Stegostoma tigrinum: one gene and its partner. The protein of the gene in region 1 purifies or fractionates together with the protein of each later gene. This does not show direct contact. Links are inferred from orthologs where the notes say so. Each region holds a gene or a part of one and is shown in the gene's direction. Other genes may lie near its edges.

Region 1 (15,736 bases):
GGATACTTGTATTTTATTTTATTGTATTTTACCAGCCCTCGAGGCATGGATCTGTAAATTGACAAAAGGAGGAGAGCACATTGAGTGCCTGTCATTACCCCATGATATTTTATCAGTAAAGGAGAAAATGGAGGTACAGCCTTGACAATAGTTAGGTATTTGTTGGAATTCCAACACCAACTCAGATCTACAAACAAACCTAAAGAAATATCAAAATTTTGTGTCCTAGTTTCTTTCAGAAGTAGTGGTCACTAATTCATTTTCGCTGAAGTTCTTTTCTTATATATTGCAATTCTTTCACTAGAGTACCAGTTAATTTAACTCTTAGTCATCTTCTTTTCCTTCAAGTTCAAATACAATTGAACATGGGCTATTAGAATAGGAAATATACCAGTTACAACTTTTACAGGCTTATTTTTATCAGAACAATTATCAAGATTAATTCTTTGAGATATTTACCCTTGTTATAGTTGCCCCATTGGACTTAATACACAGTACAAGAATCAGCATCAAGAACCAACATCTGTTAACATTGGCATGAACCGTGTGTTTACCATTATACCAATGTCAAAATGTAACTCATAGTTAAATTAGCTTGCTAATGATTGACGGAACCTTACCAGATGTTATTTTTGATTCTGTCCCAAAACAAGTCATTGATACACAAAAGAAAGCCATTAATGCAGAATGAATTCTCTCATTACAACAATTAATGTGTCACTTACACCATGTGCCAACTGATGTGCTGTTTGCAACATTAATATCTTCAACTTATAACAGGATCATGCTTTCATTCTTCTGTATCATTCTCAGGTGCTTTGCTAGCATGGTTCAAGTTGCCACCAATAAGAAACTTTTTTGGTTCTCGCTATTTTTATTACACACAATCATTGTTTATTCCTATTTGACAAGTTTCATGTTTAATTATTTTCTAATTTAAAATAGCACTCAAGGAATGCTGGCAATTTTAAAAACAGGAAAGACTGGTTTCACAAAGAAGACAAGATAACAAAGTGTGAAGCTGAATGAACACAGCAGGCCAAGCAGCATCTCAGGAGCACAAAAGCTGACGTTTCGGGCCTAGACCCTTCATCAGAGAAGGGGATGGAGAGAGGATTCTGGAATAAATAGAGAGAGAGGGGGAGGCGGACCGAAGATGGAGAGAAAAGAAGATAGGTGGAGAGGAGAGTATAGGTAGGGAGGGGATAGATCAGTCCAGGGAAGACGGACAGGTCAAGGAGGCGGGATGAGGTTAGTAGGTAGGAAATGGAGGTGCGGCTTGAGGCGGGAGGAAGGGATAGGTGAGAGGAAGAACAGGTTAGCGAGGCGGAGTCGGACTGGGCTGGTTTTGGGATGCGGTGGGGGAAGGGGAGATTTTGAAGCTTGTGAAGTTCACATTGATACCATTGGGCTGCAGGGTTCCCAAGCGGAATATGAGTTGCTGTTCCTGCAACCTTCGGGTGGGATCATTGTGGCACTGCAGGAGGCCCATGATGGACATGTCGTCTGAGGAATGGGAGGGGGAGTTAAAATGGTTCGCGACTGGGAGGCGCAGTTGTTTATTGTGAACCAAGCGGAGGTGTTCTGCAAAGCGGTCCCCAAGCCTCTGCTTGGTTTCCCCAATGTAGAGGAAGTCTGTTTCTTTGTAACTGTCCTTAACTCCACTTTCCAGCAAGCTCAATCACCCAATTTCCAGAAACAGTTTTAGATTTCCTACACTGTAACAGTGACATTTTAAATGCACTTTATTATTTGTGAAACACTGTGACACATCATGGGCTTGAATTCCCATGGGAACAAAAAAGTTCTTTGACCTCATTAAAATATCATGGAGCCCCAACTCTAAAAGTTCTGCTCCTGAACCCAACACCCACCATTTTCAAAGAGCATTAGCAAGACTGTCCACCTGATTGGCTACTAGGCAGGAAATGGGAGAATAAAATGCTACTGAAACCTTGCTGTTGATAGGCTAGGCCTCCATAGTTCTGGGCTTTGTGAGTTTCAGACAGAAAACTTTATCAATAAGGCTGAAAAGCATGTCCCCTGCCCTCCTGTTTTCTCATTATCTCAAATGGTTAGCACTCACAGCAGGGGACAAAGAAAACACTCAGGACCTTGTTTGAAGCATGGCAGCATTTTCACTAAAGAGTGGGAGAAGTTGGCTACCAATCATTAAAAATGGCAATAATTTGTCCATCAATCTGCAATGACCCCAAATATGTTAATGTTGAGGCAGAGCAGTGGCAAAGTAGAAAATACAAGGAAGCAAATCATGCACTTCATAGCCCACTAACTCATGGGAAATCCTGCCATTTAAACACAAAGATCAACTAGTCAACAGATTGGCCTATTCAGTCACATCAAAACACAGGAGAAAATTAAGACCCTGGTGGTTGTTGTCTACAAACTGAAGGCCAATCATTGAGCCTGTAACCAATACCCAAGCCCTTTCTGCCTTAAATTAAAATCACAAAATCTGGAATGTGATATCCCCTCAGTCAATGCAAAGCCTGAGGAAAGTATACCAATATTCTAACATGACAGAAGAAGACACATGTAGTGGTGGAGAAGTATTGTAGTGTCACTGTGTATACAACTATTATAATTGACAGTCTGAGAAACAAACCAAATTGCTTTGCACACCCTCTGTGTTAATGACTTTTAAATTCAAGAGACCTTTATCAAAGTAGCTATGGGCTAAATTTTTAATTTAAAATGAGCAAATTTAATTTTTCATTAAAACATTATCTATTATTTAATCCAGACATATGCTTGCAAGTTCTTATTGCTGATTGTGATCTGTGAATATTCACTGTGGTAATAAAGAACCACTACAAAATATTTATGAGTGAGAATGCTTGTTTAGTAATAATGACAATTACTTTTCATTTTAGTCTGTTCTTTAATTAAATATGCAATGGATTTCTAAAAAAAATAGTGCTTGTCAATCAAATTTGTCTTAAGTATCTGACTAGATGAAACTTACTCTTTTATAAACAAATCCCCGTTGGAATGCCTTTTCCAATCCTTAGAATATCAGTGAGGGGCGCACAAATCATGCTTGCCAACATGTCAATAACAGCCAGTTATGATTTTTGTCTTGTTTACTATAATGACGTTAGTAATAAATGCATTTGACCATTCGCCAGTTGCATTTGCATAGATGAATGATTTGTCCAGCCATTTTTTTCCTCAGTGAGATGGGCCTGTATGTCAACCCAAAGAGAATTCATTCTCCCTGGAATCCACAACAGGCAAGAGCTCATTCAAAACCACCCTTTGCCAGGAATGCTTAAAATAATTACTTCGGAATTACGAATCTGTCTCTGAAAACATTTTATTTGATGGTCCAACACATCAAGATTCTGAATTGCTGACATTCAAAAATGAGAATGCATTATTGTTAGGGAACAACTGTCGTACTGTAAAAGGCTTGCATTGTTTCAGTTTAGATGGCCTTCATTCAGCTGTCATCCATAGCCATCATGCTGCCAGTGATATCTTAAGAAATTAGAGGGTAAATGCCAGGCTGGACTGTGCTAGTGTGCAATTCTTTGAATTCTTTGCAACTTCAAATAAATGAACAAGTTCTTCTTTTATACTTGCTAAAAATAACAAAGCAGCTCATTGATGAATGCACCACTTGGTTCTTACAAACTTTGAATTTAGCTGCTAAATTATTCACTTGTACTGCCATTTTGCTAATCCAGGGTATGTTAAAATATTATACATTTCTTACAGCTAAAAATTAGATCTAGTTTAATCAATTCAAAATGAAAATCTGCACAATGTTTTGTATAATAAGTAGTACCGTTTTACAAAATAAAGAAAATATCTACCGTACACTGTCTGTAGTTGTAGAGTCCCTCTGCTACATTAACGAATAATTGTTATATTATCAATCATTCAAGACAATAAAGGCTGATGACAAATGCTTTTCCCACTGGGCAAGTGTACAACATTCAATAAACAGACTTTTGGAGAAGTACATTGACATTGGTTAAAATAAAATACAATAACCAGCCTTCAATGTCCAATAAATCAAGAATTTAATGGTAGGAAACAATATAAATGATTTGATAAATCGAATGGCTAACCAGCAATTGCAACCATAACAAATTGTCACAACAGTCCTCATAACCTTTATTTTATTTTCTTCAAGTGCCCATGGTTTCCATATCCACTACCATGTTGCATTGTGAATTTTCAGACACATAGGAGTTATTGCAACAAAAACTTCTTGCTCAGGTTCTCTGGTTATCCATCCTTCCGCTATGGAGAACAATTTCTCTCTACCTTCTCTGTCTCTCAGATCAAATCTTATGGTTTTTTTTGGTCATGTGCAAGTTGCGTTGAGTTTTTGGAGCAATTCTTTCTGTGAAGCCCAATGGAATTTTTCACTGTACCTTATAAAACTTACCTCATTAATGACTGACTCACCTCACATCTGCTTCTATCCCCATCTTGCCATGTGGCATTCTTAGAACAACTCACTGGCTTTCTGACGAAAAACTGCCATCCTTCACACCTGCACCACCACTTGTAGCATAATAACACTGCAGTCACAAAGCCATGTTGCCTATGGCACATAGCCAGCACGCTTGATAATCCCTTGCACATACAACCCTATTCACCCACTCTCACACAGTTTACCTGTCCTTAGCCAAGTTCCACTAAACACCCTCTGAATTCACAATTACACTTTCTCTGAAGCCCACAGTAGACCTGTACCTTGTCATGTATAGACAAACATTTGAATCAGGCCAAAGATGTTATTGACAGCCACCAAAAAGGAATACATTGCGATCCAACGGTTGGCATTTTGGCCTTGACAGTCCATGATGGTCTTCAGCACCCAGCTTGCATCTAATGGAACCCAGTGTCAATCAGTTTCCTGTAGCACTAATGCAGCAGAGCTCTTTCACCACAAGGAAAGTTTCCTACAGTTCAATGCTCTTATCTTTCTTCTCGGACAATTGCACCCATTTGACCGGCTCCTCAGCATCTATCACATTACCTGCTCCAGCTGTGCAGAGCTCAGCAGGATTGTATGGCACATTCTGTGTTGGCTTTACTGGAGGGAGCCCCAGTTTGCTACAAACTGTGAAAATTTGCTGTCAGCAGTTCTTTGCACCATCTTCATGAAGGTGCTGTGATGGCTGAGTGACCAACATGTTAAAATAGAGAAGTGACTATGCTCTGACACCATTCTCATCTCATAGTCACATCAACCATTTCATGTTTCACTGCATTCATCAGAGCCCATCGTCATAGTTACATGACAGATGACACAGCGGTGTGCCTCTTGTCCCAGAGCACCCTTGGAAGTTTCAAAATGAAGGAGTGCTTTTGGTTACCCTTTTCTTTCTTTTAAGGCATTTTTCTGCATCACTGAATTCCACTGTAAGTTTAGCCAGCTCCAATGACATGTTGTAATATGCCTTTGACTAAAATTTGACACATTAACAGGTTTACTCTATATGCATTGCATATTTTCAGTTTCTTATTTGTTTTATTATATTATGGGATGTGAGTGTTGCTGGATGGGTCATCATTTTAGCTGATCCTAATTGCCCTTGAGAAGGTGGAAGAGCTATTTTCTTAAATTGCTATACGCAGACCTGGAATGCCACTACGGAGGGCGTTCCAGGACTTTGATCCAATGTAGTAACAGTGATATATTTCCAAGTCAGGATGGTGAGTAGCTTGGTGATTGGTAATGGAGGGGAACTTGCAAGTGGTGATGTTCCCACGTATCTGCTGCCCTTGTTTGTCTCGGAGTGATTGAGAGTTTGATAAGTGCTGCCTAAGGATTTTGGCAAATTTCTGCAGTGTGTACACACTGCTGCTATTGAGTGTCAGTGGTGGAATTATGGAATGTTTGTGGAAGTGAGGACTTTGCGGGTCCAACAGGACTGTTTTTGCTGTTGTCAATTGTGGTGCCTAGGTTGATGCCCGGTGGTTTGTCCATTTCATTTCTCTTTTGAGGCTTTGTCGTGATTGTTACAACTGAGCACTTGCTAGGTCACTTCAGAGGGCATTTGAGGATTAACCACATTGCACGAGTCTGGAGACACATGTCGACCAGACCAGGTACTGATTGAAGATTTCCTTCCCTGAAAGCACATCAGTGAATTGGATTGGCTTTTCTGACAAATCAGCAGTTGATTTCATGCTCATCATTCGACTCTTACTTCCAGATATTTATTGAATTCAAACTCCACCATCTGCTGTGGTGGGACTCAAACCTGGGTTCCCGGAACATAACCTTAGTTTCTGGATTAATAGTCTGGCAACAATACCACTCAGCCAATGCTTGCCCAGCAAAGAAATACTTGGTACTTTAATATAGCTGGAGCTTGCAATCAGTATTTGCTAGCTGTACCGACTTTTGGTGTTGTCTTTGTCATTTTCTAGTTGCATTTCACATCTAGAAAATGGCAAATGATGGCATGGAACTTAGCTAGTCATTGACACTGTTGACAACAGCGTCTGCCTGGTCACTAGCTACCTCTCTAGAGCCTCAATGTACCAGCTCAGTTTAAGGATTGATCATTAAGGTGGCTATCTGGAGCTCTTGTGCCACAGTAGTAGCATCCCCATCTCGAGATCAGGATGGGCAGGTTCAAATCCCACCTGCTCCAGAAGTGTGTGATGACATATCTGAATAGGTTGATTAGGAAAATGTCTAAAGGTGGCTAGCTAGGCCACTTGTGCTATCTTAAATCTTTTAAACAACTGCAGCAGCTTTAAATTTAGTCAGCAATATCTTATGCAAAACTTTATCTCCTGAGAGGCCACATAGAATGCATACAAAGTCATTCCTCCATCTACTACTTTAATTAATTTCTCAAAAGATTCAATTAGGTTTGCTCAGCACAACATACCCTTTACAAATATACCTTGACATAATCAACTCAAAGTTCTGTCAATTAAACATTCCAATATCTTTATCATAAGGACTGTCTTATTAACAGGGTAATAATTAACATTTCTTCCAAATCTGATTTCCCTGTTGCAAGTTGTATCCCACCTTTAGTTCCCTTCTTCCCTATCCTTGTTTATCTCTGTTGTTGGTCTTGCAAATTGCATCTGTCAAAACATTTCATACGCAAAGACTCTTAACTACAGGTAAGTCAATCTACTTCAGTTAAATGAAATGTCAAATATCCCATGATAGAATGCGTCTTATGATACATTTTATATTGTATAAAAGTATAGTAAAATGTGCTAAGCATTAAAGTTCACAATAGTACATTGAACCACTGGAGGCAGATGACTAACACCATGGTCCAAAAAATTTCTTTGAGGAAGAAAGTGAGTTGTGAGGCTGAGATGTTTAGGGAGGCCATTCCAGAGTGCTTTTAGCTCAGACATTTAAAGGTATAGTGATTAAAATTATAGATGTGCAAGAGGCAAATGCAGATATTCCAATGCATTTTGGGCTGAAGGAGCTTGCAGTGATGTTGAAAAGTGAGGCTTGGGGATTTGAAAATATGGAGTTGGCAACCCTTAGTGGAACCATAAACCTTTCTGTCAATGTATTTCGACTGTTAATCTATGTTTGTTCATTTAAGGCTTTAATAAGAACTTTGGGATTTTGACGTACTTTTTCACATTTTAAGATAACCCATTAGATAGTAGATTCCCTGGCCTGCAATCAGGTAGTTCGAAAAATTGTAACTGTTTGTGTACTTTTTTTTAGTAAAGTTATCATTTGGGAAAAAAAGAAACAAAATACGCTATTTTTACTATTAATTACAAACAGCAATCAACGTCCTTGTTACATTTCTATTGCCGTAGCAGCTTAACAATCCCTATCAAAAAGTGTGCTCAAAAACTGTTATTTGCTAAATGACTTTCAGATAATGTGCATATTTATGAAAAGGGCCTCTGGCAGACTGGAATGGTTTCACTTTGGTCACAAACAGGACTACAACTCCCGGCAATCTTCGCCGTTGGTTTGCTCGGGGTTCCCGGCTGTAGGTGACATGTTTACATTTACGGAGGGAGCAGAAAGACAGACTTAAAACAAAACAACCCGTCTTGTGATTGAATAAAACATGCTTAATAAACAAATCATCTGTTCTACACGCAGTTACACAGCGCCTGTAAATGCTGAGCGACAGGTACATTTAATGTACATTTATTCATTTTTTTTGTGCGTGGGGGGTGGAAGGGTGATAATAAGCGTTGTGTTTGTAGCGCACCCCAAAGGCCCCCAAAGCCTGGCCGCTTTATTGCGCAGGGTGTATGCGAGCGGAAGTTCCAGTGTTGGTGGAGCTGACAAGACAGAGTACTGTCTGTGAGTGGAGTTTGCAACTCCGCCTTCCAGTTCCAGAATGTTGGTCACAATGGCAGAGTATCAAAGAGCGAGGCCGACATTCCACAAACAGAACGTACCCATTGTCTCCACGTTCCAAAGCGACACTTCCGCATCCAATGTCCACTAAGTTGACCCACCATCCGCTGCAATCCATACACAAAATAAAGAAAAACACCTCCACCTTTTGTAAATGTATCTTTTTTTTGTTCCAAAGATTTCCCTGATGTGCGACAACTAAACAAATTAAAGAAATCGCCAGTTTTAATGTCTTGTACAAAAGGTTCCAGTTTACACTGTCGCGTTTGCATTGGTGTGATGGATTTTGGCTTTTTCATCAATTCAAACGTGGCAGAAAATGACCGACCATTATACGATAAAGGTCCAAGTTTCATTTCAACAAATGATCGTGACAAGCGTACAATATTTCCACTTACGATGCAATTCAGGTGGTTTATATGGCGTTTTATTCTTATTTTTTTTCCCGTTTCCCATTTATTAAGCGTTTATGCATTGTAGGTACGAAGTGGGAATGCTGTGAATCTATAAATTAAACTATATATCATAAAATAAGACATGGAGTGGGCCAGTCATGGCTTAATAGCGCTCCCAATTCTTGAATCACAAACCTGTAAGTTCAGGTTCCACATCATGCTTAAAACACGATAAAGTCTCCGCATTCCAATACAACTTGTTGCTGACTGATGTTGTTACACGATTGGAGGTAGCGTCTTTCAGTTCAGGCATAAGACAAATCTCATCTTCCAGCTCCGGTGGATGCACAGCATCCTAAGGTGCTATTTTGAATGGAAGGGGGCTTATCCAAGGTATCCTTATCCTGAAAGAAATCCTCGAAAATAGATTCAGAGATAATGGGAACTGCAGATGCTGGAGAATTCCAAGATAATAAAATGTGAGGCTGGATGAACACAGCAAGCCAAGCATTTTGTGCTCCTGAGATGCTGCTTGGCTTGCTGTGTTCATCCAGTCTCACATTTTATTATCTCGAAAATAGATTATTTAGTTATTACTACCTTACTCTTCTGGGAGTGTTGAGTGTGTATAATGATTGCTGTATTTCTTGCATTTAACAGTAAGTACACTTCAACAAACTACTTCATTGGCTGTGAAGTGCTGTGGGACCTCTTACGGTCATTAACAAGTGCTACATAAAGTTGGTTTCATTTAACTTTCACATTCAGGATGGTTTGAAGGAACAGTTTCAAGCTTTAGAGTACTTGCTGTTTGCAGGTTTGTTTGAAGACTCTGGCATATTTGTATTACCTGTTTTTCAGTTTTTATAATTTAACTTTGTTGATTTTTTGTTTCTTCCTTATTTGCATAGACCAGCCTTCCAATAACTTAATGATAGTCTCCCACAAGAAGAGGTGTTTGAGATGTTTCCTTCTCGAATAATTGGTATGATCCAATACTGTATCCATTTACTGAGCATTCACGTGTCCTGCTTTGTTTTAGTGAGTCTTTCCTTACAACAACATCTTGTATTAATTTACTGACCTTAAGGTAAAATATCCCAGTGTGCTTCACCGAAATATAATAAATGAAGTGTGATACTACACCAGAAAATTAGGGTAGATAACCAAAAGCTTGATCAGAAAATTAGGCTTTAAATAGCTTACTAAAGGAGATATTTGGGGAGGTAGAGAGATTTGGGGTGGGGGTGAATTCCAAAGTGCCAGATAGAACAAAGAACAAAGAAAATTACAGCACAGGAACAGGCCCTTCGGCCCTCCAAGCCTGCGCCGATCAAGATCCTCTGTCTAACCTGTCATCTATTTTCTAACGGTCTGTGTCCATTTGCTCCCTGCCCATCCATGTACCTGTGCAAATATATCTTAAAAGACGCTAACGTGTCTGCGTCTACCACCTCCGCTGGCAACACGTTCCAGGCGCCCACCACCCTCTGTGTAAAGAACTTTCCATGCATATCTCCCGTAAACTTTCCTCCTCTCACTTTGAACTCATGACCCCTAGTAATTGAGTCCCCCACTCTGGGAAAAAGCTTTTTGCTATCCACCCTGTCTATACCCCTCATGATTTTGTAGACCTCAATTAGGTCCCCCCTCAATTTCCGTCTTTCTAATGAAAATAATCCTAATCTATTCAACCTCTCTTCATAGCTACCACTTGCCATACCAGGCAACATCCTGGTGAACCTCCTCTGCACCCTCTCCAAAGCATCCACATCCTTTTTGTAATGTGGCAACCAGAACTGTACACAGTAGTTGAAGGAACTACCTTCACTGTAAACTATATAAATCTGGTGACACTTTAGAGGTAAAATTAGATGAGTGCAGATAGTTTTGAGGGTTGTAGGGCTACAGGAGATGACAGAAATAGGGAAGGGTAAGACCATAGAGACATTTCTGAAGAAGGGTCCTGACCTGAAACATCAGCTTTCCTGCCCCTCTGATGCTGCCTGGCCTGCTGTCCACACTGTGTTATCTCTGGCTCCAGCATTGGCAGTTCTTACTGGCTCTAAGAATTTTAAAATCGATGTTGCTTGACTGGGAATCTGGACTAGTCAATGGACAGAGAGGTTTTGGGTGAGCAGGACTGGCTGCAAATTGTGACACAAGCTGCAGAATTTTGAATGACCTCACGTCTGTGGAAGGTATACTATAGGAATCCAGCTAGAAGAGCATTGGAATTGTTGAGATGGAAGTAATGAGGCATGAATCAGGGTTTTAGCAGCAGCAGGTGAGCTAACATGGGGTGATGTGACAAAAATAGAGCTGGGCTATTTTAATAAAGGCACAGACATAAGGTCAAAAGACCATTTTGCTTAAATGTGACAGCAAGATTCTAGACAGGTTGGCTAAAGCTCAGACTCTCCCACTGGCAGAGGGATGCAGTTGTTGACTCGAGGGATGTCAGATAATTTAAAACCAGAAGTTGAGGATGTGATGCTGAGGTACGATGTGCATGTGAAAACTAACATTCTACCTTTGGATGATGTTGCCCAGGGTTAGCAAGTAGATTAGAAGTAGGAGCGGAGCGTGGATAAATCCTTGGGAGTATCAGAGGTAATGCTACAGGAATAGAAGAAACTGTTATTGTAAATTATTCCCTGGCTACATATGAGTCGATAAATTTGGAACTGGGGAGAGCAGTCCTGCCCAACTGGAAGACATTGGTGAGAACTTAAAAGAGTATTGTTTGATTCGTTGAATTATGCATTTAATCTCTTTATCCTATTCTTTCCCATACTCTGTATGTTCATTTACTTTAAATATTTGTCCAGTTTTTCTTTAAAAGATATGAAGGTCTCTGGCTCAAACACTCTCTGTGACAAAACATTTCATGCATGAGCAATTCAAGCCGTTTCTCCTATGCTGTTTCCATACTTTGTCATAATGTGACCTCTCATCACTGACATTAAACCCTGTCTTTTTTTACTCACTGTATCAAAATCAGCTGTATTAATTTCACCATAACCTTGTCTGCTTCTCAAGAAATAGTCCCAGTATCTTGAGGGTCACTTTGTAACTATAGTTTCCCATTGCTGGAATTATCTTGGTGAATTTATAATGAATATTCTGTGTGGCTTTAATGTGTTTTCTATTAAAGATCACCCAAACTGTTCACTATTCTTAAAGTGACCTCAGGAATGTTTTGTACATTTTTGTACTCTTATTCTATGACTAATTTATAAAGCTCAAAAACTGCTGGTGGTTTTAATGAGCTTTTCCACATCCCACTCATACTTTCAGGGAAGTATTTATTTGAAGCTGAATTCTCTCTAGTGTTATTTAAACTATAGTATAGGAAAGCAAAAGTTGTAGTCAGTCCGCGCAAGGTGATAGTTTAACCTGGTTATTCAGATGATGCCTGTAAAACATTATGCTTTGTTCTTATGATTTATATCAGAAACTACCGATGATTAAATTAAAGCTTTAACATACGCTTGAAATTGCCATTATTTTATGTTTGCAAGAAATATTCTGTCCTCTCAACTCCAGAGATGTACAGAAGTGCAAATTTTCAATAGTATGGTAATTTTGAAATCTAACTTGAACTGACATTGTGGATCAGTAGTATCATTACAACACAGAGGAAGGCTATGTGGCCTGTTGTGAGTCAAACAGCTCTCTGCAAAGCAGTTCTGCCACCCTTTCCCTCTAGCTCTGCCTCTTCAGGTGCTTAAACAATTCCATTTTGAAAACACTGATTGAGAAAGCTGCCACCATGTTGTCAGGTAATGCATTCCAAAACCTAACAACTCACCACATAAAATATCTTTCCTTGTGTCACTATTGGCAATTTTGTCATTCATCTGAAATTCGTGCCCTCTGTTTATTAAGCTGTCAACCAATGGGAAGTTTCTCTCTGTTGATCCTGTCTAGACCATGAGTGATTTTACCAAATTTCCTTTCAATTGTCCCCTCCTTTAGGAGAGCCGCTCTAACTTTCCAACTTATTTGTGTAACAAAAGTTCTTTGTTCTTGGAATCATTATTGGAAATCATTTCTGCACCTTGTCTAAACCCTTCACATCTTTCCCAAAACCAAGAATTAGACACAATGCTACAGTTGAGGTAAAATTCAAATGTTATAACGATTCATGGTAATGTCCTTGGACTTTGTACATGTTGCATTAATTTTTAAAAAAGATTATCTTGGGATCTGGGCAACACCAGCCAAGCATAGTTGTTTATCCCCAAATGAGTAGAGTATCAAGTGTCAATCACAAAGTGCTGGGAAAGTCATTTGTAAGACAGATTGGGTACAGGTATCAGTCTTCCTTCTGTGAAGGACATTACTGATCCAAAAATGATTACTTGTTATTTTCCTAGTGTTAGATTAAAAATTACCAGATTTACTGTAATTAAATTCACAGCTTGTTATTGTGTGTTTTGAACTCACGAACAGTTGCTGAGCTAGTATCATTACTGCAAGGCTATAGGATATCTATGATAAGTATTGGTAATTGTATTTGAAAATGCTACACTGAAAATACGCTGTTGCTATCTGATTTAAAAAAATACTTCGGCAAATGGGTAACATTAGTCGGAATACTATTGGGGTTCTATTGTTCAATCACTTAGGTAGGTGCTAAGGCAGTAAAGTCATTGCTGAAATATAGCTCTTCAGTAACTGTGAAGGGCGTCTTTGGGTATAGTATTGTTTTAAATTTATTTGTGTAAAATTAAAGTGTTTAGTTAAAGGTTGTCCTTTGCTTTGTTTTTTTTGGAACATTGTAGGATTATAAAGCCTAAGAAACATACTCTTCTTTTGATTTATTTTTAACATTTTGTTTAGGATTAAGAGGTGATGTTGAGGCCAGAGTGTGCTGTGTCTCCCCAATGTTATGTTTCACTTGGAAGGATAAAAAAAAATGCAGTTTCTGACATGTTGTACAAGGGGGAATTTTAAGGACATATATTAATTCAAGAGATAATTCCTGAAGAGTATAGGAATTCTGATTGTATCACTTTCTGCAGATCAGTGGGAATTTATACGGCTCAAAGCAATATTCCTCCATTTTAAAAGCTGCCATCTCTAGCAATGATGAAATGCGATCCATGGTAAATGCGACAGTTTGATTTGTTTTTATTTGTTGTGATATGGGTGTTGCTTGTTAAGCCATCATTTATTCACCATTGCTAATTGGGCTTGAGATGATGGTGGTGATCCGCTGTTGAATGGAGTGCAAGGTATAATCTGTTAGGAAGGGAGTTCCGGAAATCTGATTGCCATTCCTTCATCATTGCACAATATAGTTCCAGGTGGAGGATGATTTGTAGCTTGGAGTGGGGTTAGGTGGTATTCCTACAAATCCACTGCCCTTGATCTTCGAAAAGGTAAAGATTGCGGGTTTGGAAGATGCTTTTGAAGGAGCCCCAGTGAAGGCTGTCAAAAATTTTATACCCTATTATCAGCTTGGCTCTAATATTTTCTAATGTTGGAATTCACTTGTACCTACTTTGGAATTTTTTCCATGTATTTGTGAATAAAATAATTCAAGTGACTATGCCTCTCAGTAAAGCTCTACCTTCTAGTTTGGAAAATCATTGGCAGTACGTCTGTTTTTTATCAATGTAAATGAAATAGGAAACAATATCAGTTACATTGACACTTTCAATTTGGTAACAAATGGCTTGAGTTTACTTTTCTCTCTGTGTAATCAGAGAAACTTACATCCTGTAAAATTGTGCAAAAGGTAACAAATTGTTCAGTGTTTAATTGGCCAGCCCCACTTGAACACTTAATGAGATTTTTGTTCAAAACAGAAAAATGAGCTCTGAAGAAGAGTCACTGGACTCGAAGTGTTAATTCTGCTTTCTCTCCACAAGTGCTGCCAAACCTGCAGAATTTCTCCAGTAAATTCTGTGTTTGTGTCAGATGTTCAACATTTAGTTCTTTGTTTTATTAGGTAATTTCAATTGGTTGCTCTTGAATTTATTGCAGTTCACAAAAATCTTTTGTGAAATTCAGTGGCGTCTGGAGAGTGCTTTAAGTATAATGTGTATTTATATACCAACATGTGCCTGGAGCTTTTAAATTGCATTTAGTTACAGTTAGCATTGGTAATAATCTATGTGACCCTCATGTTGCATTGTGAGGATTAAGCAATTACTAAACTAGATGTTCAGAATCTTCTGGACTCCAGGAGAAATTAAAAAAAAGTATAGTCACTGTCCATAGAGATAACAGGTGTAGAGCTGGATGAACATGCCAGAACATGCAGGCTAGCAGCATCAGAGGAACAGGAAGGCTGACGTTTTGGGCCTAGACCCTTCATCAAAAATGGGGGAGGGGAAGGGGGTTCTGAAATAAATAGGGAGAGAGGGGAAGGCAGAAAGAAGATGGATAGACGAGAAGATAGGTGGAGAGGAGACAGACCAGTCAAAGAGGTGGGGATTGAGCCAGTAAAGGTGAGCGTAGGTGGGGAGGAGATAGGTTAGTCTAGGGAGGACGGACAGGTCAAGGGGCTGCAGAGTTCCCAACCGGAATATGAGTTGCTGTTCCTGCAACTTACGAGCAGTATCATTTTGGCAGTGCAGGAGACCCAGGATGGACATGTCATCTAAGGAATGGGAGGGGAGTTGAAATGGTTCACGACTGGGAAGTGCAGTTGTTAGTGCGAACCGAGCGTAGGTGTCCTGCAAAGTGGTCCCCAAGCCTCCACTCGGTTTCCCTGATGTAGAGGAGGCCACAACGGGGACAGTGGATGTAGTATACCATGTTAGCAGATGTGCAGGTGAACATCTGCTTGATGTGGAAAGTCTTCTTGGGGCCTGGGTTGGAGGGGAGGGGGGAGGTGTAGGGGCAAGTGTAGCACTTCCTGCGGTTGCAGGGAAAAGTGCCGGGTGTGGTGGAGCTGCGAGGGAGTGTGGAACACCTCGCTTTCCTTCCGGGACCTCTCTGTCCTCATCTCCGGCAACCACCC
Region 2 (16,182 bases), on another chromosome or scaffold:
GGTTTTATTTGAGATGATTTTTGATCAAGTTTATTGGTGGTATAAGGAAGTTTTTTTGCAAGTCACTGTTAAAGTGGACTCTGGAATTTCACTTCAAATAAAACTTGAACAATTGTAAAATTTAGCCCAGGAGCTGCAGTGTTCAGAGCATTTGGGAAGATGAGGGCAATACAAAACATTTAACCGCAATGTTCTTGGGCTTGAAACACTGTAGTGACCCAGGAAAAAAAACAGCATGGTATCTAAAGAATGTAACCAGTGAGCTGGTATCAGACAAGCTTTGCATGTGGACCCAATCTCCTGCTCTGAGCTGTTTTAACAGGGATAGGTAGATCTGCTAAGTATTTCTCTGACTCATCGTTAGTTTTGTTTTTGATGTTCTGCATTTTTTGTTTTAGAAGTAAACTATTTTTCTTGTCCAGTTTCTTGATTGATGAGATGCTGTTTCCTGTTGTGAACTAGATTTGATTCTTGGTTTGTGTTGAAATGCTGACCTAATGTAATGTTGAAAAATAATGGCCTATGAGAGAGTGTGATTGTTCAGGTGAGAACGTAGATATGCCAGGGAAAATTCTGCTGCCAATCACAATATAATAACTAACTAAATGCTTTTGGTGAGCATGACAAATACATGGGCTGGTTCATTTTTAATCTTTTTGAGATTTACATTTCTGACCGTGGTTTGCCACCCTTGCCACAAAATCACTGAATTTGGTTAAGCAATGAAAGATTTCTAGACTAAGTATAAAGTATCTAGAGTAGAGTAGTAAAATAAAGAGCTCACTGAATTCGCATCTGCATTAGCGGCTGAGACATCTTAAGTGTCGTTTAATTTGATGGAGTGAAGAGAATGGCTGTGTCAAAAAAGATGGCTATTGTGATTTATTTCAGTGAAGTGCAGAGTAAATGGTTGAACTAATAGTTGAAGTTGCATTTTCGCCATTTGTCTGTATTTGCTGCTGTCAGCAAAGTGCACATCTACTTAGTTGGCTACCAGATCCTGCACAATTTGAGTCAAAAATGATGCCCAGGTTATGTTCTCATGTTGCCCTCAGTGCAGCACATCCTCTGCTTTGGGCCACCAATGCATGTTCAGATTCCTGGTTACCCCAATTATGCACGATATGAAAGATTACTCATTTGAGTTGTGGGTCAAATTAAAAATTCTTCACCTTCCGCATGAATGGTGGATGAAAAGAAAGCAGTGCAGGATGAGCTGAGGGCAGTTGGACACTGTCCTAACCTGTATTTCTCTTGTTCAGTGTCTCAAGTGCAGAAGAACAGCCCTGATTCCTTGACACAGCATTGCGTTAAAGGACCAGAGCAGCCTGAGGGAAGTGTGTTACTATGAATTGTGTTCATGGGAAATGGGACGGCGTCTGAAGAATTGAGAAAAGTCAGTTCAACTGTACTCTTCTACAGCTATTTAAATTCTGACTGTTTGCCAGCTAGATGTTTCACCAGCAAAACCAGGTTGGCAGGTAAGAGTTAAATTTTATTATGATACATCAATTGATTTTAACTTTATGCCAGAACAAGTACATGGAAGTTTAAGTCAGGTACTTGATAAAATGAATTTTAAGTTTTCACCTGTTGAACTCTTCGTATAATGTCAAATCAAGCTTGGATAAAGTTTTTGCATTTATTTCATGAAGTGTACCAACATTGGAATTGGTTGACTGTGTTGATATCGCAATGATATATATTGTCATGCTCACAACCTGAAACTGGGTCAGGGTTTAAGATCTGCAGGTGAAGAAACAATAGTGCAGGTTGAAAGAATGAATACAAAGCTCCAGGGAAGCTGTGGAGAGGTTGAATCTTCAGTGGTGATGTTGAATTTATTTACAAGGTTAGCTGAATACTACTTACATTCTGTTTAATGAAAAAAAAATTCATTAATTCTTGCCACTCAAACACTATCTGAAAGTACAATAAGGACACTTGCATCAGGAGAGGGTGGAAGAAATGAAACAGATGAAAATGCAACAGTTTTGAATTATTCCTTAAAGAGCAACAAGTGTGCTGATCTTTCAGGTCATTTACCCTGTCTGCAGTTGATGTGGCAGTGAGTCCCCAAACACCTCCATCTGACCCAGAAAATTAGTGTTTTCAAGTACAGCATTAGGCTGGGAAATTATACTTCTTTTTCCCTACGTACGAATATTGAAAATGAATTAAATAATCTCTTCAGTGTAATACAGCTGAGCTCCAAATGTGTCAAATTGTAATCTGGACACTAATCTGGTACAAACTTTTGTCTCAAAAATGCTCCAGATTGAAAATACAGGCGCCCCAAAAGCGCAGAATCAGAAGAATACAGTCAAAACTCTAAGTCTGCATGACCATTCTGTGAGAAAGGTGGCCATTACCTCCCCATAGAAACAGTCTGAACACTATTTAAGACACATGAATGGATGGTGACAGAAACTAAGCAACATTTGGGTCTCCCTCATTCGGGTAGTGTGATAGAAATCAAGCCTGTCTATTTCTGAAGTCATCACAGAAGTTCAAAATTATACCAAGTTTGCACACTTTGTAAAGTTGGTGTATTTTTAGACCTGGATTGATACAAAGCATTGGACAAGCTTCTGGATTGAACAAAAGTTAGGATTCGTTACAAGAAATTAGACTCTAGTGTCAGGTAAACAGTTATAAACTGTAGACAAGGCACAAATAAAAAATTCATGTTGCCTTATGAACTCCCCTTTGTGCTGTTGAAACAGGTGAGGTAAATAGCTTATGGACGGAGGGGAACATGGTAAAACATTTAAGTTATCTTGGTCCTCGGGTAATTTTGTTGATGTGATCCCAAATGCAAGAGCTTGGCATCAGTTGGCCTTCTCTCACTTAGGTCCACCGGTTGGGAAGAGACACAAAATGGCTGGAATATTTTGGGCAAGTCTGTGAATATCTGGTTAAAAGTTACTGCATGCGCTGATTGTTGCAGGAAATATGAAGTGGTTTTCTTCCGGTTTATGATAAGCTTTGACTTTGGAATGCAGAACTGAGTACCCCTTGCGTTTTGATGTGTTCACAGCTCCAAGCTGTTTAGTCACCTGAGAACCAATCAGACAGTTGTTGGCAAGAAAAAAAGGTGTCTGTCATTGATTTGTGGACTACTGTCTACTTCACATTCAACTTCTTGTTGCCAGCAACAGCTGCTGTGGCCCACCCCTTGGCTTCAGATTGTCTGTAACTCTGCAATTACTGTTTGTTGAAACAGTTATTCCCATGATGTCCGACGTGGGAGTCGGATTACTTTTCAAAACTGCAGACACCTTGTCAAATACTTGATGGTACGATGTTTCTCATTTCAGTCTCCACTTGTTAAAATACAAGTAAAAGACAGGGTCCTCAGATGCATATGTTACTAACCAACACTGTACGGTCCATCAGATCCAAAAACTTGCAAATAATGTTCCTGATGACTTTGGTTTCTTTTCATCTTTCAATATGAAACAAAATTGCGGAAGAATTGGGAAACCTTTATGTTAATCCTGTCTCTGACCTTGGATCGATGATTCTCCTCGTGGGAAGTTGCAATGCACAGGATCTGAGTTTCTTAACTTTCCTTGAGACATTGTCATTGAACGCAAGATCTTATCAGAGGTGTGAACAATGACTTTGACTTTCAATCTTATTTATCAATTTTTTAACAAACAGTGTCGGATGCTGTAATCACATGGAACTACCCTGATGATAGTGTACAATTGGGGTCTCAGAAGAAATCATGAACCAAGCCATACAACCTAAATGGTGAAATTGGTAACATGGTTAAAGAAGAACAGGTCTCTTGAATGGAACAGAAGATAGAAGTTGCATGAACTTTTTCATACGAATACTTATGTTGTTGACTTCAAATTAGTTGACCCTGAGGTGCAGCCGAATGCTGAACCGATGATAGATTGAATTCGACAGAAAAATGTATCGATGTGTTAGAAAAGGGACCTGTTGAGCATGTTTCAGAGATAGCAGGAACTGCATATGCTGGAGAATCTGAAGAAGGGAAGAGACCCAGAACTTCAGCCTTCTTGCTCCTCTGCTGCTTGGCTGACTGTGTTCATCCAGCTCTACACCTTGTTGTCTCTGAGCTTGTTGTCCCATTTGGAATGCGTGCTTCTTCTGGCTCTCGAGAGAAAACAGATTATTTTAACGTTTGGAACATTTCTGAACGAGGTAGGAAGGTATTTGATATGCTGATCTTCAACAGTAATAGCTTTTAAAAAGCTGGAAATTGTAAGGAATTTCATGCATGAGGGCCACAATTTACATCATTGTTAATATTAGATCTGTGATTGAGGGAAACAAGGCATCTCAGGTGCAGGACAAGTAAGCTCCTGAACAAATTTGCCTTTGCCTATTAGAATGGATCTGATGTATGGTTCACTGGAGTCATGAACTGATTACTCTAAGCTGGAATAATATTTATAAATCAGAAATTCCATTTCTACCACATCACAAATGATAGATATTTTTAATACAAAGCACTGTAGTCATTGTGTAGTTTCACATGGGCTGATTGATGCATCCTGTGGGGTTTGGGATTGATGTTTGTGGAAAATGCATGCGTTGGAGTGTATCACCCTGTAATTGACTCAAGCATATATATGCCTGTACATAGTTGACATCAGTAACAAAGAATATTGCAAAAAACAGTGCATGGAATTTGTTAGAATAGAAGGGGGCAACAGACAGTAAATTAGAAAACACTTTGGGTGCTGGCAGTCGATGTCACAGTTGCTCTTGTCAACCAAGTTGTGTAAAATAATCACAGCTCTTCACTAGACCTTCGAGGTTCACTGCAGCATGACAGATGGCAAGGAGGTATGGTTCTTGTTGCCATTTTTATCAACAGGCTTGGGTGAGGTACTGGAAGAATATTGAGCCAATATTTAAGGAAGGATGCAAGGAAATGCCAGGGAGCTACAGACTAGTGAGTCAGTGGTGGTTAAGTGGTGAGAGGGGATTCTGAGTGACCGGATGTACATGCATTTGGAAAGGCAAGGACTGATGACAGACAGCATGGTTTTGTGTGTGGGGAATTGTCTCTTAAACTTGATTGAGTTTTTTCGAAGAGATGACCGAGAAGATACACAAAGTGGTAGACAGGTATGCAAAAAGATCCAAAAACTAGAGGGTGGTTTTAGAGGATTATTGTTCAGACAAGAGGCTTGTGACAAGTGATATGCCAAAGGATTGGTGCTGAGTCCACTGGTCAATTTTTTGAACAATTTGAATGAGAATACAGGAGTTGTAGTTAGTAACTTCACAGATGACACAAAATTTGCTGGTGTAGTGGACAATAAAGAAGGTTATCTAAGATTACAAAGAGATCTTGATCGAATGGGCCGAGGAGTGGCAGATAGAATTTACTTCATGTGTGAGGTGCTGTATTTGGTAAGACAAACTAGAGCAGGACTTAAACAGCAAGCGGCAGGGCCCTGAGGAGTGTTGTTGAACAGAGATCCAGGTTCGTTGAGAGTGGCATTCGGCCAGCTTACCTTAGCCGGTCAGAGCGTGGGACTCTTGTTATGGCTGTAAAAGACATTGGTAAAGCCACATTTGGAGTACTGTGTACAATTCGAATCACCCTGATATCGGAATGATGCTATTAAACTGGAAAGGGTACAAAAAAAATGTGCAAAGATGTTACTGATACTGGAAGGTTGAGTTATGAGCAGATGTTGGATGTGCTGGGACTTGTTTCCTTGGAATGTAGGTGGCTGAGGGCTGATTTGGTAGAGGTTGATAAAATCATCAGGGAGCTTAAGATTAAAAGAAACCAAGGTCTTGTCCAAGGGTAGTAGAGCCCACAACTAATGGGCATAATTTTCATGTGAGAGGAGAAGGGTTTAAAATGGACATGAAAGGTTAACTTGTTCTCTCAGAGGATGGTGTGCATGTAGAAGGAACTGCCAGAGGAAGTGGAAGAGCTGAGTACAATTGCAGTGTTTATTTTATACAGGTACATGGATAGTCATAACAGCATGTAAACAGGCCCTTTGGTCCAACCAATCCATGCTAACCATAATCCCAAACTAAACTCATCCCATCTGCCTGTGCTTGGCCCAAATCACTTTCAACAGTTCTTATCTGTGGACTTATCTAAAAGTCTTTTAAACATTCTAACTGTACCAGAATCCATTGCTTCCTCATGCAGTTCATTCCAGACACAAACCATTTATGTAAAACAAAGCCCCTCATGTTTTTTAAAAATCTTCCTCCTCTCACCTTAAAAAAAAATGCCCCTCTCGTCTTGAAATTCCCCATCCTAGGGAGAACACAACTGTCATGAACCTTATCTATACCCCTGCGATTTTATTAACCTTGAAAAGTTCACCTGTCAACCATCTCTGCTCAAATAAGTAAAGTCACAGCCGATCTAGCCTCTCCTGACGACTCAAACCCTCCATCCCTGGAAACATTTGGTGAATCAGTTTTTAAAAAATTCTTCCTGTAACAGTGTGGTCAGAGCTGGGACACAGCACTCCAGAAGAAGCCTCACCAACATCATGTATAACCTCAACGTAACATCCCAACTCCTATACTCAAAGCTCTCAGCCATGCAGGTAAACATGCTAAACACCTTAACCATCGTATCAATGTGTTGCAAACTTCAAACAGTTAGATACCGGATGCTTTAGGTGTTTTCGTTCTACAACACTACTTAAGGCCATACTTTTAAATGTGCAATTGTCTGTTTCATAAAAATGGAATAGCACTCGTTTATCCAAATAAAACTCGATCTGCCACTCTTCAGCCCACTGATCCAAATGATCAAGATCTCTTCATAATCTTAGGTAATATTGTTCACTGTCCACTATACCACCACTTTTGGTCTCATTTGCAAACTTCGTAACCGGGTCTTCTAAATTCTCATCAAAACTGTTTATGTAAATGACAAACAGTGGATCCAGTACTGATCCCTGTGCGAGCCTGCTGGTCGCAGGCCTCCAGAACAAAAAAAACTCTACTCCACCATCCTCTATCTCCTCGCATAAAGCCAATTGTCTCTCTAATTGGTAATCGCTCCCTGAATCCCATGTGATCAAACTTTACAAATTCAGTCTAACATGCAAAACCTTGCCACAGGCTTGATGAAAGTCTGGGTAAACAAGGTCTACTGAACTGACCTCAGGTATTTTAGGTATTTCTTCAAAAAACCGAATCAAGTTTGTAAGAGGCTATTTCCCTTGCACAAAGCCATACTGACTACCTCTGCTCATTACTTGCCTCTCCAAATGCATATTAATCCTGTCTGTCAAAATTACTTGCCAGAAATTACCCACCATACAGGTCTATAGTTCCCCTGCTTCTCCTTACATCCCTTCTTAAACAAATGTGCAGCATTAGCCACACCCCACTTTGGACCTCACCCATATTTTTAAATGATACAAATATTTTTGTAAGGGGCCCCACACTTTCCTCCCTACTTGGCACAATGTCCTGGAGTACACTAGATCAGGTGACAGGGGATTTATCCATCTTTAAATTTTTTGAAGATCTCCAACATTTCCTATTCTGTAATGTGAACTAATTTCATAACATCAAAATTGATTTCCCTGACTTCTCTAGCTTCCTTTCTCCTCAGAAAAACTGTTGCAAAATATTCATTTAATATTGGTCCCATTTCGGTTTAATACCAAGATGACCTCTTGGATCTCGCAGGGGCCCTACACTCTGTCTAAGTGCTCTCGAGCACTGTTTGGGTTATCCTTAACCTTATTTGTTACCTTGTTCTTTTTTTTTTGCCTTGCCATCCTCATCTCTACCTCAAGAATGCCCCTACACTCTTTAGATTGTTTCAAGATTCATTTGAGACCAGTTATCTAGATCTAATGTGATGCCTATTGATTATTGACAGGAACCTCAACACCTTTATTGAACCTCATCCCACCTCCTTGACCTGTCCGTCTTCCCTGGACTGACCTATCCCCTCCCTACCTCCCCACCTATACTCTCCTCTCCACCTATCTTCTTTTCTCTCCATCTTCGGTCCGCCTCCCCCTCTCTCCCTATTTATTCCAGAACCCTCACCCCATCCCCCTCTCTGATGAAGGGTCTAGGCCCGAAATGTCAGCTTTTGTGCTCCTGAGATGCTGCTGGGCCTGCTGTGTTCATCCAGCCTCACATTTTATTACCTTTATTGATCTATTGTTCTCTACTCCTACTCTCCTTACCTTTCACTCTAACATGAACATCATGATTCTGAGCTTCTGTTACCTCCCACTATCAGATGTACTTTTACATGTCAATCGTCTATTCCAGTGAAGTTTTTAAAGTTCTTGTTTCATACCCATTAAAAACTGTAGTTTTATGGAAGGTTTGCCCTTTTTCGAAAGAAAGGTCTTGACCTGAAATGTCAACTTTACTATTCCTGATAGTTCTTGGCCTGCTGTGTTCCTCTAGCTCCACACTGTGTTATCTCCTGTCCTTTCACATATCGTTTTTTAAAGCTGAGAATAATGATCAGCACATCCAAAATTTTCCCTTACTGTCACTGCAGTCACTTAATCTGCCTTATTACCTCAGTGAACGTCAAGTTTTGCATCTCCTGTAGTAGGAAGATTTAAGTATTGTTAAAATGTGTTGAATAAAATTTTCTTAAACTGATGCATCACCATCCAACTCTTTAATACAATGATAGTCACAGTGAGTGTGGTAAATTCAAGTCCCTGTTCTTACCTATAACTACTGGTCTTTACATATTTGATCCTCAATTTCCCAGTGTGGGCTGGGGGGAGGCAGGGGTGTAGTGCAGTCCTCTTAAGGTGCTCGTTCTTTCTTAACTTTCTAATTTCAACCCCTATGTTTTGACTGGACGATTTTTAGCACTGTCTTTTCTCGTTCCTATTACATCTGAAATTGAGCTGGCTCTCCCGTCCTTTCCTCAGGGTATTTTCTGTCCACAAGACCATGAAACCTAAGAGTTGTGACGTCCCAATCGCATGTTCGGATGCACCTCCCACAGCAGGTGGGACTTGAACTCGGGCTGTGCTACTTCCGGGAATGGGGCGGATTGCGGTGATGTCACCGTCTCCGTGGCATGTATCCTCCGCGGGGATAGGACTTGTGTCGGGGCATGCGCAATCCGGGTTGGTGGGAGCGGCGGAGGGCTCGCGCAGGGACCGTTGGAAAATTCAAACGGTCGGAGACGGCCAACAGCGCCCGCGACACTCGCTCGGAGTGAGGGCTGGGCGGCTGCAGCAAGAAACTCCTCAAATACCGCAAAAATGGCAGCCGCACCACAGGCCAACAGCGAGGACGCTTGTCTTAACGGTAAGTTTGAAGAACCACCCCCCCTTCACCCCAGCACCAATATTTTGTTTTAGATCGTTTGTAGCACCGCTGCGTTTTTCCCTCAAAACAAATGAAGGCATAAACGCCTGTCGTTGGTGGTGTTGCCCAAATGCGAGGATGTGGTTGAATTTGATTGATTGGTCGGAGCTCGGCCGGATTTTCCGGAGAAGAAAACCCCGAAACAAACATAACAAGCGGAAATGTCACCAATGTGAGTGACAGCGGCCTTAGCCAATGGGAGATGGTGCCGTGGGCTGTTACCAGTGGGAGGTGTCAATGTGAGGAGGAGGTGAAGCTGGAGCCGCATCAGTGAGCGACTGAAAATATGTGGTAACTGTACTTCAATGACACAGTTAGTCTTGGTGATCGTGTCTACATCCCGGGACAGGGAGTTCTGCAAAGGCCATCCCAAGGTCTGCTTTCTCATAACGGGCTCGGGTGACTGGTTAGATTGGGTAGCCCATTGTCTGTTACAGGGAAACGCATGCTCAAGAGCTCCTTGAGCAAATGAGTTAGTGAATCTCCATAGACGTTGTCAAGGTTATCGCAATCTGCCTGTTTTCATTCCGTGAGCCAGATCACAGTGGCTGCACATTCGCCTTGGTGTCAGAGGATTCTGGGTTCCAACTTCCCTGCGATAATTAAAACCTGAGCACTTGGTTCAGCTTGCTGCTTGCACTGAAGCACTGAGGGGATGCTGCACTGTTTGTTTTATTTGAAAGACAATACCTCAATGTATGGACCAAAAAGAGTTTGTGCCCTGATTGGAACAGAGCAGGGGATTTCTTGGTTAAATTTTATGCCGCCTTCTGTTGCCATAGGAAGTTGACGATTTGGGCCAATTTGGTAAATTGTCTTTCTGATGAAGGGTCTAGGCCCGAAACGTCAGCTTTTGTGCTCCTGAGATGCTGCTGGGCCTGCTCATCCAGCCTCACATTTTATTATCTTGGTCAATTGTCTGTTGTACTCCCAATGTTGATCGATTGAAACATTTTGTTTTTTAGGAAAGTACCTTGTGGGAAGTGAATTGCTTTCACATACAATGATGTATTTTTCATACCCACTTGGTCAGCTTCCCACAGAGCTGTGGAATGTGCCTGTACCAGCAGGAGATACTTGTGGATTATGGTATTCAAGTTCACTATTAATCTGAAATGTGATGGTTGTTGATTTAGAATTAAATACTAGTACTGTGATTCTTTTTAAACTGAAGTAATTTTTAATGAAACAAATGAGTTTTAATTTGTGCCAGTGACCTGTTTCTGTATCATTGTATTAGCATGAATCAATGAAAACATTGATTCTGAGAAGATAACTTCCAAATTTGAGTGACTGGAAGATACTGTGCCCCACAGGAAACATTAGTTCAATGGTGAGCTGCTCTTCAAAGCTGAAACTGTGATTTTAACAAATATTTTGTGAAGAAAACTTGTACACTGAAATGAAAATGTATTATTACATTGGATGAACTGGGCAACTGGCTTGCTTTTCAGCTGAAGCCCTTGTTTAGCTTTTTGTTTTAGCTACTGTAGCTTGTTGTGCACTTAGACCAAAGGAATTACTTTAATAAAATATACAGCCTCTTTTGCAGCAGAAAATGCAACAGAATTGATTTGTACGGACAAGATTTTGATGTTTCTGAAACCTTCAAAGACATAGAGGCCAGTCAATCCAGGAAATAGAAAATCAGGTCACCAACTGGGATGTGAGCTTTGTTCAAACCAGTCATCAAATAAATAAATGTTATTGATCAGGTATCTGTTTTTCAGAGGCAAGAAGCTGAGAAAAAGGAAGTAGCTGTCATGAATGTAAAGTATGCATGTTAATTTTTTTTCCTTTATTCATTCATGGGATGGGGATGTCGCTGGCCACGCAGTATTTATTGCCCATCCCTAATTGCCCAATTGCAGTTTGGAGTCAACCACATTGTTGTGGGTTTGGAGTGACATGTAGGCCAGATGGATTTAAGGATGGCAGTTTGTTTCACATTAGTGAACCAGATGAGTTTTCCAACAAGTGACGATGATTCATGGTCATCATTACACTCTTAATTCCAGATATTTGTTGGATTCAAATCCCATCATCTGCCACAGCAGGATTCAAACCCAGGTCCCCAGAACATGATCTGAGTTTTTGGATGAACAGTTCAACAGTAATACCACTAGACCATCGCCTCCCCACTCTCCACCATTGTTAGATTCTGATCCTGTACCTTTTTCAGGCCAGGTTGCCTTATCGGTAATGTCTGACTAGCTTATAGAGCAAGTCATAGTCTACTTTGTGTCATTGAAGATACTGTTTTGCATTGGTAAGTGGAGTTATGAAAGCGTAACTGTTGAATAGTAAGATATCTGAAAATAAAAATGAACCGAGTAACTACTTTCCTCATTTTCAAATCATGTATTTCTGGTGTACAGTAACTAATGTACTTGGTTCCTAATTTCTGTACTAATTATCTGTATTTTTTTGGCTGAGATAATGCATTCTGGAAAATTGGAAAGCTGAAATATAATGTGCAAATGAGCACTCAATTGGCTAGTTTTATTGTTTGTTTGGAATCTGTGGTCTATGGCAGCCTCTTAATGTGCAACTTGTTATTCGGGAGTTATTTGTATCTCCTGAATGGCTTGTAAAATGAGCATTAACAGCATAGATAAATTTTTGAGTCAGATTTTCATTTTGACGTTAGTTGTTTCATCCAGTTCCATTATACACTTACTTGTCCAAGGAAAGTCAAGTGTATTGCGTCCCATATACCAACCAGTAATGCAGATGGCAGAGCTGTTGAAAGAAAAAATAACTGGAGATGATGGAACATTGCACTGCTGTAGGGTGGAACGGCAGTGACACAATTTCGAAGGATGCACCAAAAGGAATGTGAAAGGAAAATTTTGCAGAAGGTTTTCGGAGGTTTATGTGGATATGTTGTATTCAGGGGGTGGGTTTGCCCACATTTAATGAAGACTGGCTACGGTAGTGCGTCAGGTTCACACGTGCTCATGTTTGTTTGTTTGTACTGCCTGCCAAAATCTAACAGTATGAAATCACTATTTACAATGGAGAAGGACATGGAAAATATAGAATGTGGGGAAATAGGAGTGACACCTTTGAAAATACTCATGTTATAGAGGTGGTGGTGCTGGACACCTTAAAACACAAAGGTGAATAAATCCCTGGAACCTGACCAGATATATCCTAGAGCAAGTGGGAAGTAAGGAAAGAGATTGCTGGGCCCCTTGCTGAGATATTTGTATCATTAGGAACGACCGGTGAGGTTGGCTCATGTTGTGCCACTGTTTAAGAAAGGTGGTAAGGAAAAGCCAGGGAACTAGAGACTGGTGAGCCTGACATCGGTGGTGGTTGTCAAGTTATTCGAGGGAATCCTGAGGGACAGGATTTAGATGTATTCGGAAAGGCATGGACTGATTAAGGAGAGTCAACATGGCTTTGTTGGAAATCATGTTTCACAATCTTGGAGTTGCTTTGAAGAAGTATTTCCCGCAACACATCCCTCACACCCCGCCCCCGCCTCACCCGCCCTAAGAGGATCCCCCTCGTTCTCACACACCACCCTACCAACCTCCGGATACAACGCATCATCCTCCGACACTTCCGCCATTTACAATCCGACCCCACCACCCAAGACATTTTTCCATCCCCACCCCTGTCTGCTTTCTGGAGAGACCACTCTCTCCGTGACTCCCTTGTTCGCTCCACACTGCCCTCCAACCCCACCACACCCGGCACCTTCCCCTGCAACTGCAGGAAATGCTACACTTGCCCCCACACCTCCTCCCTCACCCCCATCCCAGGCCCCAAGATGACATTCCACATTAAGCAGAGGTTCACCTGCACATCTGCCAATGTGGTATATTGCATCCACTGTACCCGGTGTGGTTTCCTCTACATTGGGGAAACCAAGCGGAGGCTTGGAGACCGCTTTGCAGAACACCTCCGCTCAGTTCGCAACAAACAACTGCACCTCCCAGTCGCAAACCATTTCCACTCCCCCTCCCATTCTCTAGATGACATGTCCATCATGGGCCTCCTGCACTGCCACAATGATGCCACCCGAAGGTTGCAGGAACAGCAACTCATATTCCGCCTGGGAACCCTGCAGCCTAATGGTATAAATGTGGACTTCACCAGTTTCAAAATCTCCCCTTCCCCTACTGCATCCCTAAACCAGCCTAGTTAATCCCCTCCCCCCACTGCACCACACAACCAGCCCAGCTCTTCTCCCCCCCCCCCCCACCCACTGCATCCCAAAACCAGTCCAACCTGTCTCTGCCTCCCTAACCGGTTCTTCCCCTCACCCATCCCTTCCTCCCACCCCAAGCCGCACCCCCATCTACCTACTAACCTCATCCCACCTCCTTGACCTGTCCGTCTTCCCTGGACTGACCTATCCCCTCCCTACCTCCCCACCTATACTCTCTCCACCTATCTTCTTTACTCTCCATCTTTGGTCCGCCTCCCCCTCTCTCCCTATTTATTCCAGTTCCCTCTCCCCATCCCCCTCTCTGATGAAGGGTCGAGGCCCGAAACGTCAGCTTTTGTGCTCCTGAGATGCTGGTTGGCCTGCTGTGTTCGTCCAGCCTCACATTTTATTATCTTGGAATTCTCCAGCATCTGCAGTTCCCATTATCTCTGATACTATTTTAACGAAGAGGATTGATGCCTGCAGAGTGGTGGGTGTGGTCTATATGGACTTCAGTAGGGAGTTCGACAAGGTTCCTCATGGTATACTGGGTAGCAAGGTTAGATCACAGAATTGAGGGAGAGCTTGCTATTTTGATACAAAGCTGTCTCAAAAGGTCGAAGACAGAGGGTTGCTATTTACACTGGAGGCCTGTGATGAGTGGTGTGCCACAAAGATTGCTGCTGAGTCCACAGCTTTTTATCCTGTCTGAAAACAATTTGGATGTGAACATAGGAGGCAGGGTTACTAAGTTTGTAGATGACACCAACATTGGAGGTGTGGTGGGCAACAAAGAATGTGACATGAGGGTACAAGAGCATCATCTTCAGATTGGCCAATGGGCTGAGGAGAGGCAGGTCTGGAGTTAAATTTACATAAATGTGAGGTACTACATTTGGACAGAACTTAGACACTCAATGGTTTGGTTTTGGGGAGTGTTGTTGAACGGAGACTTTGGAGTGCAGGTTCATAGTACCTCGAAAGAGGTGTCACATGTGTATAGGATGGCGAAGAATGTCCGGTTTGCTTATCTTTATCGGTCAGTGCATTAAGCATTGGAGTTGGGAGGTTATGTTGCCTGTACAGGACATTAGTCAGGTCACTACTGCAATACTGCATTCAATTCTTGTCTCCCTTCTATAAGAAAGAGGTTGTGAAAATGGAAAGAGTTCAGAAAAGATGTACAAGGATGTTGCCAGGGTTTGAGCATTTGAACTATAGTGAGACATTGAATAGAGTTGTGACCTTACAAAGGTTTATAAAATCATAAGGAACATGGATGGGGTAGATAGACAAGGTCTTTTCCCCCATTGTGGGGAATGCAAAACTAGAAGGCATAGGTTTAAGGTGAGAGGAGAAATATTTAAAAGGGCCGTAAGGTGCAGTTTTTTCTTGCAGGAGGTGGTGCGTGTCTGGAATGAGCTGCCAGAGGATGTGATGGAGATGATACAATTACAACATTTAGCCATCCTGATGCCTTCTATGTGAATAATTAGGGTTTAGAGGGAATTTGGCCCAAATGCTGGCAAATGGGGCTAATTTATTTAGGGTATGTGGTCAGCACGGACAAGTTGGATCAAAGGGTCTTTATCTGTGCTGATTTAAAAAAAGGTATACTGCAAGTCATGTTTGTTGTCTTTTAAATTTTGAGCATTTAAAAAAAAAACTGGTTGGTTGCATTTGATGCCAAAGAATATTTTCCATTTTCTGCCCATCAGATGAAATGATAGTTTAACAGTTTTTGAAGAAGCATATTGTTCTTCTTTGCACTTGCCACATTTTTAAATTTTACTTTGACTTCGCCAGCTCAATTTTAAGTAGTGTTTTGCTTTTGCCCTATCGCTCCTTGTTAAAATGTTATGCAACATTTAAATATGACCTCTTTTAACTTGTGCATTAATGGTATTGTGGAGCAGAGCTAGTCTACTTCAGGGGTGAATTTTGGCCTTCTTTGCTTTGCTTTGCAGTGCTTCTCAAAACAAAATTAAACATTTAACTGTACAGATGGTGCCCTCTTGTGGTGCAGTGGTATTTCCCTACCCCAGCGCATGCGGCTGAGATTCAAATCTCGTCTGCTCCTGATGACTGTAATAGCTTCTTTCAACAGGTTCATTCGAAAAACGGGTTAAATTGGAACATGGAAGTCCAAAGTCAAAAATAGGTTGATGTTTCCAACAGGAACTGTTATTCTCCTGTGACCCTTCTCTGATGAGAAATAGTCCTGCTATATATTCCTAGTCTCTTTGGATCAAGTAAAAGGTTTATTATCAGGTAGCTTTTTTCATTTTGGACTCTTGTATTGTCATGTAGTCCTGTTTACGAAATTCAGTTTGGTAAGGATATCAGACTTCGATAAAACAGTAGAGGATGGATTTGTGTGAAAGCAGGTTTGGATTAAAAGGTTTGCATAACAAATAGGAGACAGTATTTAGGACAGTGTGTGGCCACTAAAATGAACTTTATTCCCAACACATACTTGTGGAAGCAATGCATCAGCTGTGATTCAATGTCGACGTAATTGACAGTGGCAAAAATATTTGAATGTTGTGGTAACATGATGTCTTGGAAATGTCCAATAGACAATTATAAGACATGGGGAAGTGAGCACAGTTTTCCCAGGTGACTGTGCATTTCAGAGTACACTTGCAAATTTTCAACAATGCAACCATCTTTTTTTC

What was found.
Region 2: the proteins of fbxl4 (region 1) and BCL2/adenovirus E1B 19 kDa protein-interacting protein 3-like purify together in Homo sapiens (affinity purification with western blotting; 4 studies listed by BioGRID, with this or other methods). This does not show direct contact. The link is inferred for Stegostoma tigrinum from reciprocal best matches to the Homo sapiens genes FBXL4 and BNIP3L.

What each region holds. Positions count from the first base shown.
Region 1 is NC_081357.1:49,949,144-49,964,879, forward strand, and holds the start of fbxl4 (F-box/LRR-repeat protein 4), read left to right. Parts: upstream 1-7,981; 5' UTR 7,982-8,129; intron 8,130-9,536; exon of another isoform or gene 9,537-9,574; intron 9,575-9,668; 5' UTR 9,669-9,742; intron 9,743-15,736. UniProt on the Homo sapiens protein: Substrate-recognition component of the mitochondria-localized SCF-FBXL4 ubiquitin E3 ligase complex that plays a role in the restriction of mitophagy by controlling the degradation of BNIP3 and NIX mitophagy receptors.
Region 2 is NC_081393.1:9,562,257-9,578,438, reverse strand, and holds the start of BCL2/adenovirus E1B 19 kDa protein-interacting protein 3-like, read left to right. Parts: upstream 1-9,027; 5' UTR 9,028-9,236; coding exon 9,237-9,282; intron 9,283-16,182.